Caenorhabditis elegans: one gene and its partners. The protein of the gene in region 1 purifies or fractionates together with the protein of each later gene. This does not show direct contact. Each region holds a gene or a part of one and is shown in the gene's direction. Other genes may lie near its edges.

Evidence for each region.
Region 2: the proteins of K11H3.8 (region 1) and gst-10 fractionate together in Caenorhabditis elegans (co-fractionation; one large-scale study listed by BioGRID). This does not show direct contact.
Region 3: the proteins of K11H3.8 (region 1) and Y53F4B.39 fractionate together in Caenorhabditis elegans (co-fractionation; one large-scale study listed by BioGRID). This does not show direct contact.

The regions. Positions count from the first base shown.
Region 1 is NC_003281.10:9,833,274-9,839,254, forward strand, and holds K11H3.8 (GYF domain-containing protein), read left to right. Parts: upstream 1-1,920; 5' UTR 1,921-1,921; coding exon 1,922-1,986; intron 1,987-2,034; coding exon 2,035-2,435; intron 2,436-3,971; coding exon of another isoform or gene 3,972-4,094; intron 4,095-4,142; coding exon of another isoform or gene 4,143-4,293; intron 4,294-4,631; coding exon 4,632-4,738; intron 4,739-4,786; coding exon 4,787-5,038; 3' UTR 5,039-5,374; downstream 5,375-5,981.
Region 2 is NC_003283.11:2,559,601-2,565,165, forward strand, and holds gst-10 (Glutathione S-transferase P 10), read left to right. Parts: upstream 1-2,089; 5' UTR 2,090-2,105; coding exon 2,106-2,142; intron 2,143-2,191; coding exon 2,192-2,386; intron 2,387-4,574; coding exon 4,575-4,975; 3' UTR 4,976-5,045; downstream 5,046-5,565. Other genes in the region: str-154 (Serpentine receptor class r-10), read right to left, coding at 658-736, 806-899, 948-1,139. UniProt on the Caenorhabditis elegans protein: Conjugation of reduced glutathione to a wide number of exogenous and endogenous hydrophobic electrophiles. Responsible for approximately one-third of 4-hydroxy-2-nonenal conjugation.
Region 3 is NC_003280.10:15,108,586-15,116,259, forward strand, and holds the start of Y53F4B.39 (Beta-lactamase-like protein 2 homolog), read left to right. Parts: upstream 1-1,558; 5' UTR 1,559-1,566; coding exon 1,567-1,664; intron 1,665-3,582; coding exon 3,583-3,714; intron 3,715-3,768; coding exon 3,769-4,041; intron 4,042-6,792; coding exon 6,793-7,279; 3' UTR 7,280-7,674. Other genes in the region: wshc-4 (HEPN_LA2681 domain-containing protein), read left to right, coding at 270-423.

The DNA.
Region 1 (5,981 bases):
GCTGTCTCGGAGTGTGAAGTTAGAAGCTTTTTTTGTTACTTATTTTAAAAACATCATTTCAGTAATTACCACCCTGAACATTACTCTTCACCACCTCTCATGCGTAAACCCGATTTCCGTTTTCCAATCATTAATCCTGGTTTGTAGAAAAACACGTTTACTTAAAAGATATTGTGAATTACAGAGAAAGCTCAAGGAAAACTATTCGTTCTCTATCAGCTGATTATTACCGTTCCGGACTCGTTGAAGAAATTTCCTCCGTACACATCAGAAACAGTTTGCTGCCAACTGTGCGGAATCGATTTGATGGGATCAGCTATGTTTGCTCATCTGATCACTATCCAACATCTTAAGTTATAGAACTGCTTGTTCTCAGAGAATGACGTCGATTTCTGGATTTATAAAGTGAACAGTGTAATCGAGCAGGCGCCTTCAAATGGTAAAGCTCAGTTTACGTTCTTTTGTTTTACTTTTGATTTCAGCTCTGATCCTACCAGGTTTCAACCCTGATACAAATGTGAACTTCTCGGAAACGGTCGGCGAATTCATCAATCGATCGAAGGGATTCGTTAAGAAACCGAGTACGATTAAAAAAGTTCCGTTGTTAATGGAAATAATTTAAATAAATCAGACCTCGAGCAGATCAAAGCCGTCATTGGTGCAGTGATCGATATTAAGGCAGCTGTTGAATATTCGTCAATGAAAGCGAATAGGCCAAGTAAAAACAAAGTTAGGAGCAAGAATTCTAATTCAGAGCAAAAGCGAACCGGAAACTTCCTCTCTCAAGTCGTCGAAAATCTCATGACCAAGGTTGACGCGAATATCTTATCGAGGAGGGTTGGAAAACTATTCAAGAATCACGTATGTTGCTTTCGAAAGTATTGTAATTTTACTCAATTATTTCAGAATGAGTGCACTTTCTGCAACATAAAATTTATTTCATTTTTTGAAATGTGCCGTCACGTGGGAAGCATTCAACTCAGAATGAAGGTAATTTTAATTGAATGTTTCGCCGTTCTGCCGTCTTCCAATAATTCTAAATAATTTCAGATTAACCACTTGCGTTATCAAGATGTCCATGTTGGAACTTGGGTGCGTTTTCTGGCTTCGGCAACTCCACAGAAACAAACAATTGAAGATGTAATTGACGGAGGCTCTTCGAAAAAGGTGCATTCACCTGAAATAATCTATATTGACTAATATATAATATTTTATCGTGTTTTATAGGATCTCAATTCGCTTTTATTAATCTTGTGTCATAGAAATTCCTATGTATTCGTTTCTTTTTCTTGTAAAGTAATTTATTTTTCTTCTATAATATAAACTTTTTTGGAATTGTATCGTTTATATAATTTCGAATATAGTGTATACTTTACACTTTTTTATATCTTTGATATTTTCTTCCGAAGGAAGCCAGTTTTAAGAACTAATATGCTGTACTTACCATTCGTTGTAGGATTTCTGAGAAAACTCATCTCAATTTTTTTAAAAAATAGTTCAGATTTTCTGCGATTTCATTTTTTGGAAATTATATTTTAATGAACAATTAGGTAATTTAATGCAATTTTTTAAAGCCGTTGTGTGCTTATGGGGATAAAATTGTATCATTCCAATAGACCCAGTTTTTAACATTTTTTCTTGCAGAAATATTATCTGACTATTCGTTTCTTCTTTGAAAATTTTTTGATTTATCCGTATTTTTTCATATAATTTTCAAATTTTTCTTCCAAAAACCAAAAAAAAGTTAATTTTAAAAAAGTTAAAAAGTTTATAAAAAAATAATATTTTTGACTTTCGAAAAATAAAATCAAAAAGCCGACACCATTGCTTTTTGTTATACGAAGTAATTTAGAAAACCTCTTTGAATTTTATGAATTCAAAGAATAATAACTATGTTTCAAATAATAATATTTATTTCAGAATGGAGATGGAAGACATAGACGACGATATAACTGTGTTCTACACTGACGATCGTGGTACAGTACAGTAGGTTTTCTATTCTTTTATGAAGTTTTAAGTAATTTCATTTTTCAGAGGACCATACGGAGCCTCAACTGTGCTTGATTGGTACCAGAAAGGATATTTCTCGGACAATCATCAAATGAGATTCACTGACAATGGACAACGAATTGGGAATTTATTCACATATGAAACTACATTGGGTGAGATGAAAGCGAGATATGGAGAAGAAGCACCGATTCCGACGAAACTCGAAGATTTTAATTTTCGTGGATTCTCAATTAAACCGAAATCTAATAAAAGACAACTCGATAGAGATCCACTTAAATTACCAAGGAAAGTGAATCCGAGAGATCTGGAACCAACCGATGCCAGAAACAGGAATGGAAATTATGAAAATCGAAATGAATATGGTTATAACTGTGATAGACAAAGTACAAGCGCAGTGGATTCTAGGAACCAATCTGTACCGCCCGGTATGTTTTTTTTCAGAAAAGATACTTACCGTATTTCCTCTATTAGTCCGGCAGCCTCTATTAGTCTTGCACCCCTACGGACCAATCGAAAATTAGTCTTGCAGCCTCTATTAGTATTGCATGCAAGACTAATAGAGGAAATACGGTGATAGTCTTGCACCCCTATTCCTGCCAGACCAGCAGTATTTTGTGAAAATAATAATAATTGTTTATTTGTCACAAGAAAGAGCTACACCGGAAGATTAAAAAAAAGTAAATAAAATGATGTGTGGACAAATAAGTAAAATGACCAGTTGGACCAGCTATAGCCCGGGAGGTCAAGTTGAGGGGAAGAGGGTGTCGAATGGAATAGAGCCTAGGCGCGACGCAAATGCATTTGGAGTTAACAATTGAGGGAAACGTTTTGCTATTCGATTCCACAACGACAAGTTAACATGTAAAAAAAATTTAGACGGGACACCACAGATAACAAGTAGATAGGGGTGACGAGTAGAGCGTGAAGCTCGAACAAACGATGATAAGGACGGGAAGTGATACTCGCTTGAAATAATTTTATGGAAGGTTCGGAGGATTTGAAGAACCCGTCTGTGGTGAGTAGACAATAAATTAAATTGTGAAAGCCTGCTGCTGTATGACGAGTAAGATAAATTGCACCTTTGAAAGACACACTTTGAGAAAAACCGGAGGGGAGATTCTAGTTTTTTGGCAAGTTCGGTGGAGTTGGGCGGGAAGAGCTCGCAGCCATATTCGAGTACGGGGCGGATGTAAACATTGAACAGTTTAAAATAGAATTCGGGACTTTTAGAGCGGAATGAGCGAAGGATTTGGCGACACTTAAGGAGGGCACTATTAGAAGTCTGATTAATATGATTTACAAATGATAATTTGGTATCGACAATGATTCCGAGATCTCTGATAGAATCACGCGGTTTAATTTCAACACTATTTACAAAGTATTTATGACGGGGGTTCTTTTTACCAAAGTGTAATACGGCAGTTTTTTGCTCAGCAAGATTTAGACGCCATTAAAAAAAAAAAAAAACTTCAAAAATTTCGCCATTTTTTAGTTAAAATAAATTTTAAAGTGTTCAAGTAATTGATAAAACAATAGAAAAGCATGTATTTTGCACGATTTAGACTGTTTCAAGCCAAATTTTTGACGATAAATGATCAACTTTACAAAGCTATTGGATCTTCGAAAATTAGTCATGCATGCAATACTAATAGAGGAAATACGGTAATTATTTCTGGAAACTAAATAATATTACTTGAGCACTAAATTCTGAGAATGCCTATTACGCAGCATATTTGATTTTCTCAATTTTCTTTAGTTTTTCGTGCTTTCTCTATGTATTCTTTCAATATTTTACCGATTAATAAATGATTTCCGTAAATCGACACAAGCGCTACAGTAGTCATTTAAAGAGTTACTGTAGTTTTCGCTCCGAGATATTTTGCGCGTCAAATAATATGTTGCGCAACACGCATTCTCGGAATTGAGTGTTCCCTTAATAAATAATATTTCAAAATATTTAGAATCGCCCACTAGAACAACAAAAAGAAGCAAGAAAAAGATGTTTGTCTGGAAATTCGGGACCCGAACCGGGAGAAATAAACACTGATTCGCAAGAAATGTCCGATATGGTACCATATGGACCGGTATTTATAATCATTATTCATTTTCCAGTATTCTCAAAATTATTACAGGAGCCACCTCCTCCGAAAAAACGAAATGATGAATATGTTCTTCGTTCAAAAGGAAATATTCGATCCAGTGATGAGAAAAGGCTGACGGTTGGGAAAAGGAGTCTACCATTTTATTATGGAGATGAAGACAAGAAGAAAACCAGTTTGAAAAGTTAGTGAAATTGGGAAATTGGGAATTTAAAATTTATATTTTTTGTAAAATTTGGACGTATGTGTGTGCACCTTTAAGGAGTACTGTAATTGAAAACTTTCGTTGCTGAGAAAAACTTTGAAAAAATCTCGTTTAGGTGATTTCAATTGTTTTATTTTAGTTTTTCTATTTAGTAATACGAAAAACAATGAAAGTTTGAAATTACAGTACTCTTTAAAGGTTCACATGCGTTTGTAAATACAAACAATTTCGTGTCAAGACCGGGTATCGTATTTTTCGCGCAAAAATCGCAAAATTTTGTATCTGTGTAATATTTTTAATTTTATTCATTTTTCCAGAAATAATTGCACTCGAGTTCGCTTCAATACTCCGCACGGATTATGTGAAATTGGAGAAACGGCAACGCGATCAACTTCACAACATTTGTAACCAATGGGAGCTACCGGTGATTTCTTAAATAAAAATATTTTTTTATTAATAAATGTATTTATAGGATAACTGCAGATTCTGCAAATGTGCTTTAAAATTCGCTCCAAATTTCTTGAGCCATGTACTGTCTATTCCACACATTACGAAGAGCATGGATCAATATGACAGACGTTTCACATTTGAAGGAGACTATCGTATGCTTAAAAACGAAATCGAAAAAGTTAAAACGAATTGTCGGGATGCTCCAAGTCCTCTTCCACCTGCAATGGATCCTGTTGCACCATATCATGTTCGCGATAAATGCACACAATCATAATATTTCACCCAATTACCATCCCATGTACATTAAGATTTAATAGATACTCAATCAAACTTTTTTCACCTGTTCCCACGATTTCTTCGCGTTTTCAGCGAAAGCACAGAAAAGCTAATTTTACATATAAAAAGTAGCACTCTATTTACAAGTGTTCTTGTCTTATACAATATTTTCGTGTTCCTTTATCCACGTCCCCCCCCCATGACCTATTGTATTGTTTCAGAATTTTTTTAACATGGCTCTTTTTCCTTACAAAATACTTCACCTCCCCCATTTTTCCTTTTTTTCCAACAAATTTTCGTCTTGATTCCAAAAATAAACATTGGAGTTATTGAAGCATTGCAACAATGCAATGATGATTCTCTTACTTTTATCAGCAAATTTATTGAAGGATTAGCGCCTTTTTGTCTTTTTGTCGTCGCCGTCAAGAACATTTGTGTTTTGTTTCGACTTTGATCGCTTTTTTTCTTTAATTATTCCATGATCAGAGTCCATTGACATAAGGCTTCAGGAGAGTAATGCGGGATTTTAAAATACGGTACCAGGTCTCGACAAGACAAATGTTTGTTCAATGCAAAAAGATCTGCGCCTTTAAAGGGTACTGTAGTTTCAAACTATTGTTTCCGCGGAGTTTTCATCGATTTTTAAATTTATCTTTTTTTTTAGAAAGCTCAAATGAAAAGAAAACTTAAATTTTAACAAATCTTGAGAAAAACAATTCAAAATCGATAAAAATTTTGCGAAAACGAAATTTAGACATTACAGTACTGCTTAAAGGCGCACAACTCTTCGCGTTTAACAAAACAATTTCGTGTCGAGACCGTTCACCGTATTTTAAAGCTAAAACTGCATAATTTCAAAAATCAAAATTACGGAGATCGTGGCGAGACCCGAAAACACACATGTTCCTTTAAAGTGAAGCTTTAAATTTTGTTGCATAGTT
Region 2 (5,565 bases), on another chromosome or scaffold:
TTTCCACTGAAAATTGAAGATTTACCAAATTTTAAGCTTTAATAAATTTTTTCTGCATTTTACGAACAAACCTTTTGTTAAACAGTGAAAATCGTATTTAAAATGACTAAAATTAACTTTTTTCGTCCACTGGTTGAGAAATGGTTTGAAATTTAAAAAAAATCAACAGGATTTTTCTTATTTTCTAAATATTTTCCTATTGAAAATCGTTTTTAACACATTTTTGACTATAACTAGGATCGCAAATGTTTAGGGTCATTAATGTTTAAAACCCGATGTTTAATTGAAAAATATTTAGAAAATTAGAAAAATCCTGTTGATTTTTTTTTAACCTTTTCTCAACCAGTGGACGAAAAAATTTCATTTTAGTAATTTTAAATTCGATTTTCATTGTTTAACAAAAGGCTTGATCGTAAATGCAGAAAAAATTATTAAAGCTCAAAATTTGATAAATCTGAAAAATCTGCAATTTTCAGTGGAACGGCAAAACACCGCGGATGCAGAAACGCGAAACGTAGCAAGCGCGCTCTAATAATTATTCGATTTTGAGGAGAGCGTGCCCTAGTTTATTTGTTGATTTTCCTAGAATTTTCTATCAAAAGTAGAAGTGATGTTAATTGTATATGAAGCTTGAAAAATTGACTAATGATACAGTACCTTTGAACGGCAAAATAGCGATATATGAAGTTGATTGCTATAGCGTAAATACTTGTTCCAAAAAATGCCACTCCGGAAACTGAAAAAAATGATTAAAAAATCAAAATTGCTTCTTTTTAAATTTCAATTTAAAAGACAGTTCTCTCACCAACAGTGAACTTCAAGACATCTGGATGATTCTCTAGCATATTACTCTTCAAATCCACAAGAATAACTACAGTTGAGTCGTCATTAAACATGTACTGAAAGTAATCATTCAAAAAAAAAACGCTTCAACACTGACAACTTACGGGTGCTGCAACAAAATGAAATGCTGCATATGCAATTGACAAGCCTGAGCAGTATATCAGCAAATACTTGTAGCTTCCCATTTTCCGCGGTGAACTTGTAACTACAAGGGTAATCAGAATGAAATTTACCACAACAGACAGTACTGCGGCAATTGGCTGAGTTATTGATTTTATTAAGGAAAACGTTCTCATTTCCAAATGTGAAATTTAACCGGAGAAAGCCACGGAGCAAGTTATTTGGAGAAAGTGTTTCTGGAAGTTAGAAGTTATTTGAAATTTAAAAAAATAAAGAAAGCCGATTTGTTTCATATATATATAGAGTTTATAATTATAGTTTGCAATTTAGAAGAATGATTCATTTTATACTTCCTTGTTCCTTGTAATTGCAGTTTGTATATGATTCTCGTTTGATGTGTCGCAGGTGCTAAACTGCGTGTCTGGTTCTTCAAATTACACCTGCGACTGACCAAACGCAAATCATCTGTGTGATATCGACTTATAATATGCAGGGTGGTTTATCCGAAAATTTGGAGTATTAGAGCTTTGCGAGCCCAGAGGACAGGGAAACGTATTTTGTGCCAAGTATGACGATTTGGTCGAAAGAGCCCATCTGTGCATTGACCAGGAAACGGGCGGCGGCGAGGGCTCCAAAACAGGCTTCGCCCAGTTCCGACTCCTCTGAAGCGACTTCTTCAATTGTCTATAACAATGACACTGGACCACTCGAATTTATCGAAAGTACTTGATGGCCGAGATTTTTTGGTTGTGGAAGAGTTTTCTAGAACTGGTGACATAGAAATCTTTCATTTTTTCAATCAAAACTAATTTTTGATGAGTGATTTTAGATGCAAAACTAATAGAGGCGCCTTACTAATAGAGGATATACGGTATCCTATCCTATTTTCTCTATAATAGCGCTGCAAAAATAATGTTCCAATGCACCAATTAAAAACTAGTACTCAGTGTCCCCATTCAGGTTGTGTTTGTCAAAGTAAAATATTGTTTTCCCTCAATCTTTGATCGGTCTAGTTTCGTCGAAACACGCGTGTTTTTTTCTCTAAATCTCTTCATGCTTACCCATGTCTAATCTATGTTGATGACAATTCAAATTGGTATAAAAGTAGAGGCCATTAGACCTAAACGATAAGAGCTCGTACGATGGCCGTGCCACAACTTTACTACTTCACTATTCGAGGTAAGAAATTTTAAAGTTTTGCATTTTTGGAAAGCTCAATATTTTTCAGGATTCGGAGAATACATCCGTCTTCTGTTCCTCGACAATGGTATCAAATTCGAAGACATTCGGTTCGACTACGAGGGGAATGAATGGCAAGAGTTTAAAAAAGGAATGCTCCTTGGTCAGTTGCCATGCTTGAAGGTGGACGGGCAAGAGATTGTGCAGACTGGAGCAATTATGCGTCATTTGGGAAGAGTTCATGGTAAGGAGATTTGGCGGGAAATTCGAATTTTTTCAGGAAAGATTGTTGGCGGGATATTCAAATTTTCTCTGATAATATTTTGGGGGAAATTTCAATTTTTTCGGAAAACATTTAGTGGGAAATTCAAATTTTCACAACAGGAAGTATTTTTGGCGGGAAGTTAGAAAAATTTTCAGGTCAAATTTTTGAGGGAAATTCAATTATTCTGAGAAAAATATTTGGCGAAAATTTCAATTTTTTTCAGAAAACATTTCAAATTTTATAAGGATCAATTTTGGCGGGAAATTCAATATTTACGGAAAAAAAACAATTTAGCGGGATATTCAAATTTTTAGTACAAACAATTTCTGGCGGGGAACTCAAATTTTATGCAAAAAATTAGGCTAGAAATTCAACTTATCTCATAGTCAGAAAAAAAATAATTTTGCGGGAAATTCAAATTTTCTGAGATAAACATTTGGCAAAAATTTTATGTTTTTTAGAAAAAAAATTCCAGTTTATCGGGAAAACATTTGGCGAAAAATTTCAATTCTTTCAGAAAAAATACAATTTTGGCGGGATTATCTCTGAAAAATTTTAGCGCGGAATCCAAATATTTGAGGAAGATTTTCTTCAGTCAATTCAAATGTTCTGAAAAAAACTTTAAGCGGAAAAATACATTTTTCTTTAATTTTTTTTTTTCGTAATTTCAATTTTTCCAAAAAAAAAAAACTTTGCGACAAGAAATTCAAATTTTTGAGAAAGATTTTGGCGGGAACTTCAAATAATCTCATTGAAAACATTGGCGAGAAATTTTAGTTGATTCAGAAAATAATTTTGGTCGGAAATTACAATTTTCTGATAAAAATTTGGGCGGGAAATTAAAATTTTTCTATTTATATCATATATATATCAGGTTGTCCCATAAGTTTTTGTACTATTTTTTTTTTGAAAAAAATTTATTTCTCTCAAGCGACAAGTAGTACTATTCACACAAGTATTCACCATTAGTGTCCACCACTTGTTGCCATTTACTAGGTAACATCATGATGCCACGGGAGAAGAAATCCGGCGAACGCGATGAGAAGAAAGTGGAGAGTTCAGTTTTGAGATGCTCTTCGTCGTCGAATTGCTTGTCGCGCATGTAGTCACTGAGAGACAAGAACAAATGGTAGTCGGTTGGTGCAAGATCTGGAGAATATGGTGGATGCGGTAAAACAGTCCAACCAAGATCTTGCAGCTTCTGGAAAGTCTTCTTGGCGACATGAGGCCTAGCATTATCGTGAAGAAAATATAGTTTTTCATATTTTCCGTTGGTCTTTTCTGCAACTCGGTCCAATTGGGCACAATAGTAATCAGCAGTGATAGTTTTATTAGTTGGCAACAATTCCCAGTGCACGGGTCCTTGAACACCCCACCAGACACAGATCATAATCTTTTTTGGGTGAAGATCAGGCTTTGGCGTCGGTATTCCTTTCTCACCGATCGGAAGCCATTGACGTTTTCTGGAATGGTTAACATAGAGCACCCACTTCTCATCTCCAGTAACCAGATTGTTCAGCCAATCGAACTTTCGACGAAAAGTTAGAAGTTGAGTACAAACGTTGACCCGAGTGAGCTTCTGTGATGCCGAAAGTTCATGAGGCACCCAAATTCCAAGTTTTGAAGTAAAACCAAGGCGACCCAAGTGACGTGCAATTGTGCTATGACAACACTCAAGCTTCTCTTCCATTTCACGAAGACTAAGACGAGGCTCTTCCTCCACCAGCTTCACTAGGTCTTCTTCATTTAACTCTACCGGTCGCCCAGAACGTTCTATTTCTTCGAGACTGAAGTCGCCGTTCTTGAACTTTTGAAACCAACTCTTTGCTGTATTATAAGAGAGTGCTCCCTCACCCATCGCACCGCATATGTTTCGTTCCGCTTCCATTGCTGAATGACCAAGACGAAATTCATAAAGAAGAAGCAATCTAACGTCTCGACGTTCAAGTTTGATGATTGTCATCGTGGCAAAGTAGAAATGGATGAAATGAATTTTTTCTGAAAGGGGAAGACCCGACCTTGACACGACCTACGATGAAAAAATTTTTAAACTTTCTAGAAGTTTTGGAAAAATATTTGAAAAAAAGTACAAAAACTTATGGGACAACCTGATATATATAGTGTATTATGACGTCACAGATCTATTTTATGTAATTAAAAATTTCAGGCTTGAACGGATCCAACGAGCAAGAGGCAACCTTCCTCGACATGTTCTTCGAGGGAGTCCGCGATGTTCGTATGAAATACGTCCGTTACATTTACTACGACGAGGGAACCCGCGAGGATTGTGTCAACAAAACCATCCCGGAGGCTCTAGTGAAGTTGGAAGAGCTTTTCAAAGCTCATTCCGGAGACTTCATCATTGGAAACAAGATTAGTTATGCGGACTATATTCTCTTCGAGGAGTTGGACGTCTACCACGTTTTGGATGCGAATATCCTAGACAAATTCCCAACTCTGAAGTCGTTCTGGGAAAGAATGTGGAAGAGACCGAATTTGAACGCGTATCTCGAAAAGAGAAAGGCCGACAAAGTCTGGATCAACGCGATTGAGAAGGGAATGAACTGATTGCTTTAAAAATGCAAATGTTTTTTTTTTCGAATCTATGTTGACAAATAAATGGATATTATTTTAAAAAGCAACTTACGGGAGTAGCTTTTGTGAATTTTTTGCCCTATATATGAGAAAAAAATCTTCAAAAATTTATGGCGTTTTTCAAAAACTTTTATGCTTTTTTTTTCAATTTTCCAGACAATTAGAAAGGGCCAAGCTCTGGATATATTTTTATTTTTGTTTCTCAGTTTGGAGTTTTTGTCGTAGAGGCTCAAAATTAATGCAGTTCGAAAATTTATTTTTGAGAAGGCATTTTAATTTGCTCACCTGAATTAACAGTTTTTTGCAAAAAATTTTTTTTGGAATTTTGGTAGAATTCTTATCGGGTGCGGTAGATAATTTTTTTTAATACTATGGGTACGTTTCTGGGTCTAGAAATTCGATTTTGGCAACGCTACAGTCATATGCCTGTAAAAAATGAATTGGAAACCAAAACCCCTCTAGCGCGGCCAAAATCGAATATCTAGACCCAGAAACGTACCCATAATAATTAAAAAAAAATTATCTACCGCACCCGATAAGAATTCTACCAAAATTCCAAAATT
Region 3 (7,674 bases), on another chromosome or scaffold:
ATATTTTGAACAGGAAATCTGGAAAATCTGAAGTTCTAAAAAAATTTACAAATTATTTTTTCGCCAATTTTCAAAAATTGCAATTTATACTTACTTTTCTTGGTAAAACCAATATTAAATTGCGGGAAGAAATGAGCTTTATAAAAAATTCCGAATTTCTCTCAAATTAGTAAAAATTCCAACAAAAAATGTTTTTTTGAAATTTTTGAAAACATTTTTTCAAAAATATTTTTTTTTTTAAATTCTCAATTCTACCTTCCTATTTTCAGCACAAAAGAGCACGAAATTCGTTCACAATCGGAAAGCCGCGAGTACAGTCAGGCAGTACAGTTGAAAATCGAACGACTTCAGACGGAGCTCAAAATTCTCACAAATTTCAAAATGAATTTCGGCATTCAGCACACCATTTTCACGATGAATTAGGTCAAACTACAGTATCCCCCCCCCCCCCCTCACAAATCGTTGCGGGACCCACATTTTTGCTCAAAATTTCATTTTTCTACCGTCTAACACTTGACTTTTTTTCCCCATAATACCGATTTGTTCGTTTCTGTTGTTATCAAATGCTACAGTCTAGCCACATTTTCTCATTTTACTCCCCTTATATTTGTAAAATTGTTTAGTTTGTTTTTTTTTCGCCTGGAAATCGATTTTTTTGCGAATAGTTGAAAAATTTTGGAAAATTTAGAAAAATTCAGAAATTTTAGTTTTTAGTAATTTTTTTAAAAACTTTTTCAGTCAAAAATACTGAAATTTCCGGAATTTCAAAAAAAAATTATAGAAAAGTTTCTTAAAATTATAGCGTTTTGTTGAAATTCCCGATAAAATTGGTAAATCCTGGAAATTCTAAAAATTAAATTTTTTATCCAAAAAATTCAGCTAAACAGAAAATTGTTTGAACTTTTTAATTAAAAATTCCCGATTTTACAGAAAAAGTCAAAAATTTTGAAAAATCGTGAAAATTCTAAAAATTCGATTTTTTTATCGAACATTTTTTTGAGAATCCCAAAAAAACTGAAAAAAATAAAAATTTTAATTAAAAATTTCAGATTTTAGCGAAAATTCTCAAAAATTTTGGAAAAATAGAAAAAATTTCAACTTTTTGATTAAAACTCCCAGATTTTTGCAAAAATTCTCAAAATTTTGGAAAAAAAACTGAATTTTTTCTCCAAAAAATCCTATTTTTGTTAAAATTCTCGAAATTTTTCGGAAAAATCCTAAAATTTCCAATTTTTATCCAAATTTCCATAAAAATCGATTTCCAGCGACTTTTTATCATTACCTAGTTTTTAGTTTTTTTTTGTTTTGAATATTTTTTTCTTTTTTTTCCTCAGCTCCCAATTTTTAAAAACTATTTTAATTTAATATCGTCAATCCTCTCCTGTCACCATTGTTAATGTTTTTTTTTGAAATTTTAATTAAATTTCTACCATTTTTAATCCATTTTTCTCTATCCGATCGATTTTCCATGAAAATTGGTCCTAAAACGACCTAATGACCTATATTTCTGAATCACCCAGAGGCGGGGGCGGAAACATAGATGAGTATCTCGTAATTCAGAACACGATGACGGCGTACGTTGGACGAGCCTGGACGATGCTTCGTTTTTATACGGATTTCGCATACGCCGGTGTTGCCTATTTGGTTAATTCAAAGGCACATAGGTTGGTTTGTAATTCGGGGTCTTGGCGCGAAAGTTTTTTTTTTCAAAATTTCGGCTTTTTGTGTCGATTTACGAGCTTTTCCAGGCTTTCTCGACGATTTTTTTTTTGAATTTTCATAATTTCGGTTTTGTGCCGATTTACGAGAATGACAAAGAAAATTAGGAATTTCAGCTCTTTGTGTAGTTTTACTAGCTCATTAATTCTTTGGTAAATTTTGCCTCTTTGTGTCGATGTACGAGCTTTTTCAGGATTTTTCCACGAATTTTTTTTTGATCTTTTTCCTGAATTTTCGAAATTTCGGTTTTCTGTCGATTTACGAGAATAGTAGAAAATTAGAAATTCCGGCTTTTTGTGTCGATTTACGAGCTTGTGTTCAGTTATTTTTTAAATTCAAGTCAAAATTTCGGATGCCAGTGTAGATTTACGAGCTCATTTTTTGGTGAATTCTGACTGCTTGTGTCGATTTACGAGGTTTTTTCTGACTTTTAGAAATTGTTGTGTTAATTGATAATATTTTTAAATTATTCAATTTTTAAATAAATAATTTAATTCCTAAATTCTGAAAAAAACCAGTGCTCGTAAATCGACACAGAGATGCGTAAATCTACAATGCCATGATTAAAAAAAAACTATTTTCCAGGATGTATGATATTGTTTCTCATGAATCTGAGAAAAATTGAAAAAAAATTCCGCTCGTAAATCGACATCCAGCTGCGTAAACCTACAATGATACCAAAATTTGTTCCCTAATAAAGACATTTTTTTTTCTGAATTTTCTCTGAATTTTTTAAGAAGACTACTTTTTTTTGAATATTTATTAGTTTTAGGGGGCTTTAAAAAATTTTTAACAAACATTGTAAATTGCCGATTTGCCGGAAATTTTCAATTCCGGCAATTTGCCGGTTTGCCGGAAATTTTCAATTCCGGCAATATACTGATTTGCCGGAAAATTTCAATTCCCGCAATTTGCCGATTTGCCGGAAATTTTCAATTCCGGCAATTTGCCTTTTTGCCGGAAATTTTCAATTCTGGCAATATACTGATTTGCCGGAAAATTTCAATTCCCGCAATTTGCCGATTTGCCGGAAATTTTCAATTCCGGCAATTTGCCTTTTTGCCGGAAATTTTCAATTCTGGCAATTTGCCGGTTTGCCGGAAATTTTCAATTCCCGCAATTTGCCGATTTGCCAGAAATTGCATTGTACTATACAATTGCATTATCAATACATTCTGACTTATCGCCCAAGTCACAAAATTGCAAAATTCCATTGGCTGACACCTAGAAATTGGCAAACATCATCATTTAAGTGTAGCCAACTGACTACAGTGTTCCGAAAATAAGGGAAATTTAGAAAGAGAGAGAGAGATAGACGAAACAAGTCACAGAACGATTATCGATCACTTTTCAGTTGGTTTTCTTTAATTCTTCATAGTTTCCCATTTGAAACAATGTCTCGAAATTCAGTAATTTTTCCGGAAAAAAAGTTAAATCAAATTGGTTGTAAAGTTTTGTATTATTTAAAAAAATTGTGCATTTATTAACAATCAGAACCTGTAAAAGTTGGCAAAAATTGAAAAAAAAGTCTCCGTAAATCGACAGCTAGCTGCGTAAAACAACACTGATTGGAGTAGATTTAGACTAGATTATGACTAGATTTAGGAATTAAAGAATTAAATTATTTAAAATATATCGAAATAACCGAAACTAAAACTGAAATCTATTGCGCAACATAATTGACGCGCAAAATATCTCGTTGCGAAAACTACAGTATCTCTTTAACTGACTAATGTAGCGCTGGTTTTGATTTTCGGGCAATTGCAGTTTCGAATTTACTCTGCAAAAAAAATCACAAATTTTGCATAAAGCACTACACTTTTTTCAAAACTTCTCTGAAAATCTCGAAATTCTTTTTTTCAGAGCCATGCCAAGCCTCACTCACGTGGAGCCCATCGAGAAGCTCTCCGACGCGGTCACCAGAATTCTCGGCCACAATCCCGGCCCCTTCACTCTTCAAGGAACTAATACATATCTACTGGGCACTGGTGCAAAGTAGGCAGCAATATTCTGAAAATTTTTAATTTCTAATCAAATTTTTTCTTTCAGAAAAATCCTCGTGGACACTGGTGAGCCGAACGTCACCGAGTACATTTCGGCACTGAAATCAGTTCTCGCATCTACGAATTCCCACATTGAATATATCGTTATTACGCATTGGCATGGCGATCATGTTGGTGGAATCGATAATATTACTGATGAGATTTTGGATAAAAAGAAGATACCTATTTATAAAATGAAACGGGACAAGGATGAGGGTGTCGAGAGATTTCATTATGTTGACGATGGGTTTGAGGTTGCAGTTGATGGAGCCACGCTGAAGTGAGCATTTATCATTAGAGAATTGGTTTTATTAGAAAAAAACCGTAGTAGTACTGTAGGGATACTGTAGTTCCGCTGTAGGTGCACTGTAGGTATGTACTGTAGCATTAAGGAGGACTAACGGTTCGGACGATTTTGACCGTATAGACCCAAAATGAGCTCAAATGAACGAATTTCGTAATGAAACTGCTCAAAACAATTTTCAAAAATTTTTTATGGCGTTTCAAAATTTTGAAAAAATTGAAAAAATGAATTATCGTCCTTTATTACATATATTGGTAATTAATCTCATTTAATTTCGTCGATTAAGGTACATTTAAAGCCGTTAGGTAACCAAAAATCATCGAAATTGGTTACCTATCGGCTTTAAATGTACTTTAATCCACGAAATTAAATGAGATTAATTGCCAATATATGCAATAAAGGACGATAATTCCAAAAAATCCAACTTCGGACAGATGTGACACGAAAAAATGGGAAAAACTCATGATTTTAGGTAAAATCAGTGTAATTTTTTCAAAATTTTGAACCGCCATAAAAAATGTTTGAAAATTGTTTTGAGCAGTTTCATTACGAAATTCGTTCATTTGAGCTCAATTTGGGTCTATACGTTCAAAATCGTTCGAACCGTTAGTCCTCCTTTAGTAGTACTATAGTGATAGTGTAGGGTTACTGTAGGTATATTATAGGAGTACTGTAATAGTGCCGTAGGGGCACTCTAGTAGTACTATATGGGTAGTGAAGGAGTTTTGTAGAGGTACTGTAGGTATATTTCGGTTGTACTGTAGTAGTATTATAGGGTTACTGTAGGAGTACTTCAGGGGTACTGTAGTGATATTGGGAGGGGTGGGTACTGAAGTAGTGATATTGGGGTACTGTAGTAGTACTGTATTTCTAGAAACAAATTAATTGTGTCTTTTTAAATGAGTAGTGTTGTAGGGGGTACTGCTAGAAATCGATTTTTTGTTGTGAAAATTTGGAAAAAATTGGAATTTTCTGAAATTTCAAATTAAATGCAATTTCAGTTACCATCTGTTATTTTTAAGAATTTTTGATTTTAAATTCCTTTGAAATTTTCTATATTATTTTTTTTTCCGGGACGATTTTTTAAATTCCTAATTTTTGTCGAAAATCTCCGAAAATAATAAGGAAAAAACCTTAACAATTAATGTTCCTCAAAAAATACCTTGAAATCTCAGTTTTTTGTTGAAATTCTCAAAAAAAAAAAGGATCCATATTTTTTTTCAAAAAGGAATTTATGAATACAAAATTTTTTGAACGTTTGTTCCAAAAAAATGTGTTAGTACAGTAGTGCCGTAATGGTAGCAATACTGTAGTAGTAGTAGTACTGTAGGGGTAATGTAGGGACATTGTAGTAGTATTATAGGGGTACTGTAGTGGTACTACGGAGGTACTGTAGAAGTTCCGAAGGTGTGCTGCATTAGTACTGTAGGGGTACAGTAGTACAGTAGTACTGTAAGTGTACTGGTACTATAGCTATTTTGTACGTGTACTGTAGGTATATTGTAGTTGCACTATAGTATTATTATAGGGGGTACTGTAGTGGTATTGTACAAGGCTGGGATTTTTTTTTGAATTTTTTTGCCATTGTAACGAAAAATTGATTTTTTTGTTTGTTTTTTTAAGACCGAAAAACCAAAAAAAAATGCATTTTTCACGGTAAAAAAATTAATTCAAGTATCAAATTTTTTGTTGGTTTTTTTTTGATTTTTCCCAAATTTCAATTTTTCTTGGTCCAAAATCAAAACGAAACACTTATTGTTTTTTGATCCCAGCCCTGAAACTGTGGTATTAACTGTAGTAGCATAGCTCTTTTTCAAAAAAATTGAATTGCCATGAGAAATTTTTTTTTGGAAATTTCAAGATATATCAATTTAGCCTTTCTTCGAGTTATTTTAAAAGTGGTGTAGTCGAATTTTTTTAAATTTCTTTATTGGACTCAAAATTGTCTGAAAACACCGAATTTCATAATGAAACTTCTTGAAAACTTTTCAAAAAAAAGTTATGGCCTCTTGAAAAATGGCCTAAAATTAGTGAAAATTTGAAATTTGACCGACTTATCATTGTCGCAGCGGCTGGAAACAATTTTTTTTTGAAATTGTCGTCTAATTTTGGGTATACAGGTCGATTATCTTGCATTTTCAGCTTTATTAAGGTATTTGAAAGTCGATGGACGAAGAGAATTGATGAAAAAAATTTGACAAATCTCTTCGTCCATCGACTTTCAAATACCTTAATAAAGCTGAAAACGCAAGATAATCGACCTGTATAGCCAAAATTAGACGACAATTTCAAAAAAAAATTGTTTCCAGCCGCTGCGACAATGATAAGTCGGTCAAATTTCAAATTTTCACTAATTTTAGGCCATTTTTCAAGAGGCCATAACTTTTTTTTGAAAAGTTTTCAAGAAGTTTCATTATGAAATTCGGTGTTTTCAGACAATTTTGAGTCCAATAAAGAAATTAAAAAAAATTCGACTACACCACCTTTAAAATAACTCGAAGAAAGGCTAAATTGATATATCTTGAAATTTCCAAAAAAAAATTTCTCATGGCAATTCAATTTTTTGAAAAAGAGCTATGCTACTACAGTTAATACCACAGTTTCAGGGCTGGGATCAAAAAACAAAAATTCGGTGTTTTCAGACAATTTTGAGTCCAATAAAGAAATTAAAAAAAATTCGACTACACCACCTTTAAGCTAGTCCATCTTTAAACATTAAATTTCCAGACTAATCGCCACTCCAGGCCACACCGCCGATCACTTCTCTCTGTGGCTCCAAGAGGAACGAGCATTGTTCAGTGGAGACTGCATCCTCGGCGAGGGAACTACCGTCTTCGAGGATCTTCATGACTATATGACTTCACTGCAAAAGATCAAGGATCTCAATGCGACAAGGATTTATCCGGGTCATGGTCCGGTTATCGATAAGGTCGTGGAGAAGGTTGACGAGTACATCGAGCACCGAATGAAACGAGAACGCGAGATTATCAAAGTGCTCAAAGAGCACGAGGAGATCACCAGTATGGATGTGACTAATCAGGTTTATGCTGACTCGCCGTGGGCTGTACGACTGGCTGCGTTGAACAATGTGAAGCTCGTGCTGAAGAAGCTTTGCAAGGATGGAGTCGTTGAGAATCCGCATTTTGAGACTTTCAAGTGGATTGGAGGCAGTAGTAGTGGAGAGGAGAAGAAGAATGAATCGTCGAATTTGTAGAAAAAAAAAATTATTTTTTGGAATTTTAAATATTTAATTCGCTCTTTATGTGTTTTCAAAATGTAGAATTTACGATGTTAATTCGAACTTTTCATAGATTAAATTTAAGTTTTAACCTACCTATATTTGAGAATTCCAAAAAATCTCGAAAATATTCATTTTTTAAATTCGAAAACCATATTTTTTCGAATTAAAAAATTCAAACTTCTGGAAAAAATTTGAAATTTTTAATTTTTTTTGTTTGATTTTTCAAAAAATTTCCGGAAAATTAATTTCAGTACCAATTTTTTCAAAATTTCGAGTATTTTTCGAATATCTCGAAGCGGATTTCGAATTTTGAAAATTAAGGAAATAATTTTTTTTATCTCCAAAATTTCCAAAAATTCAACCTTTTT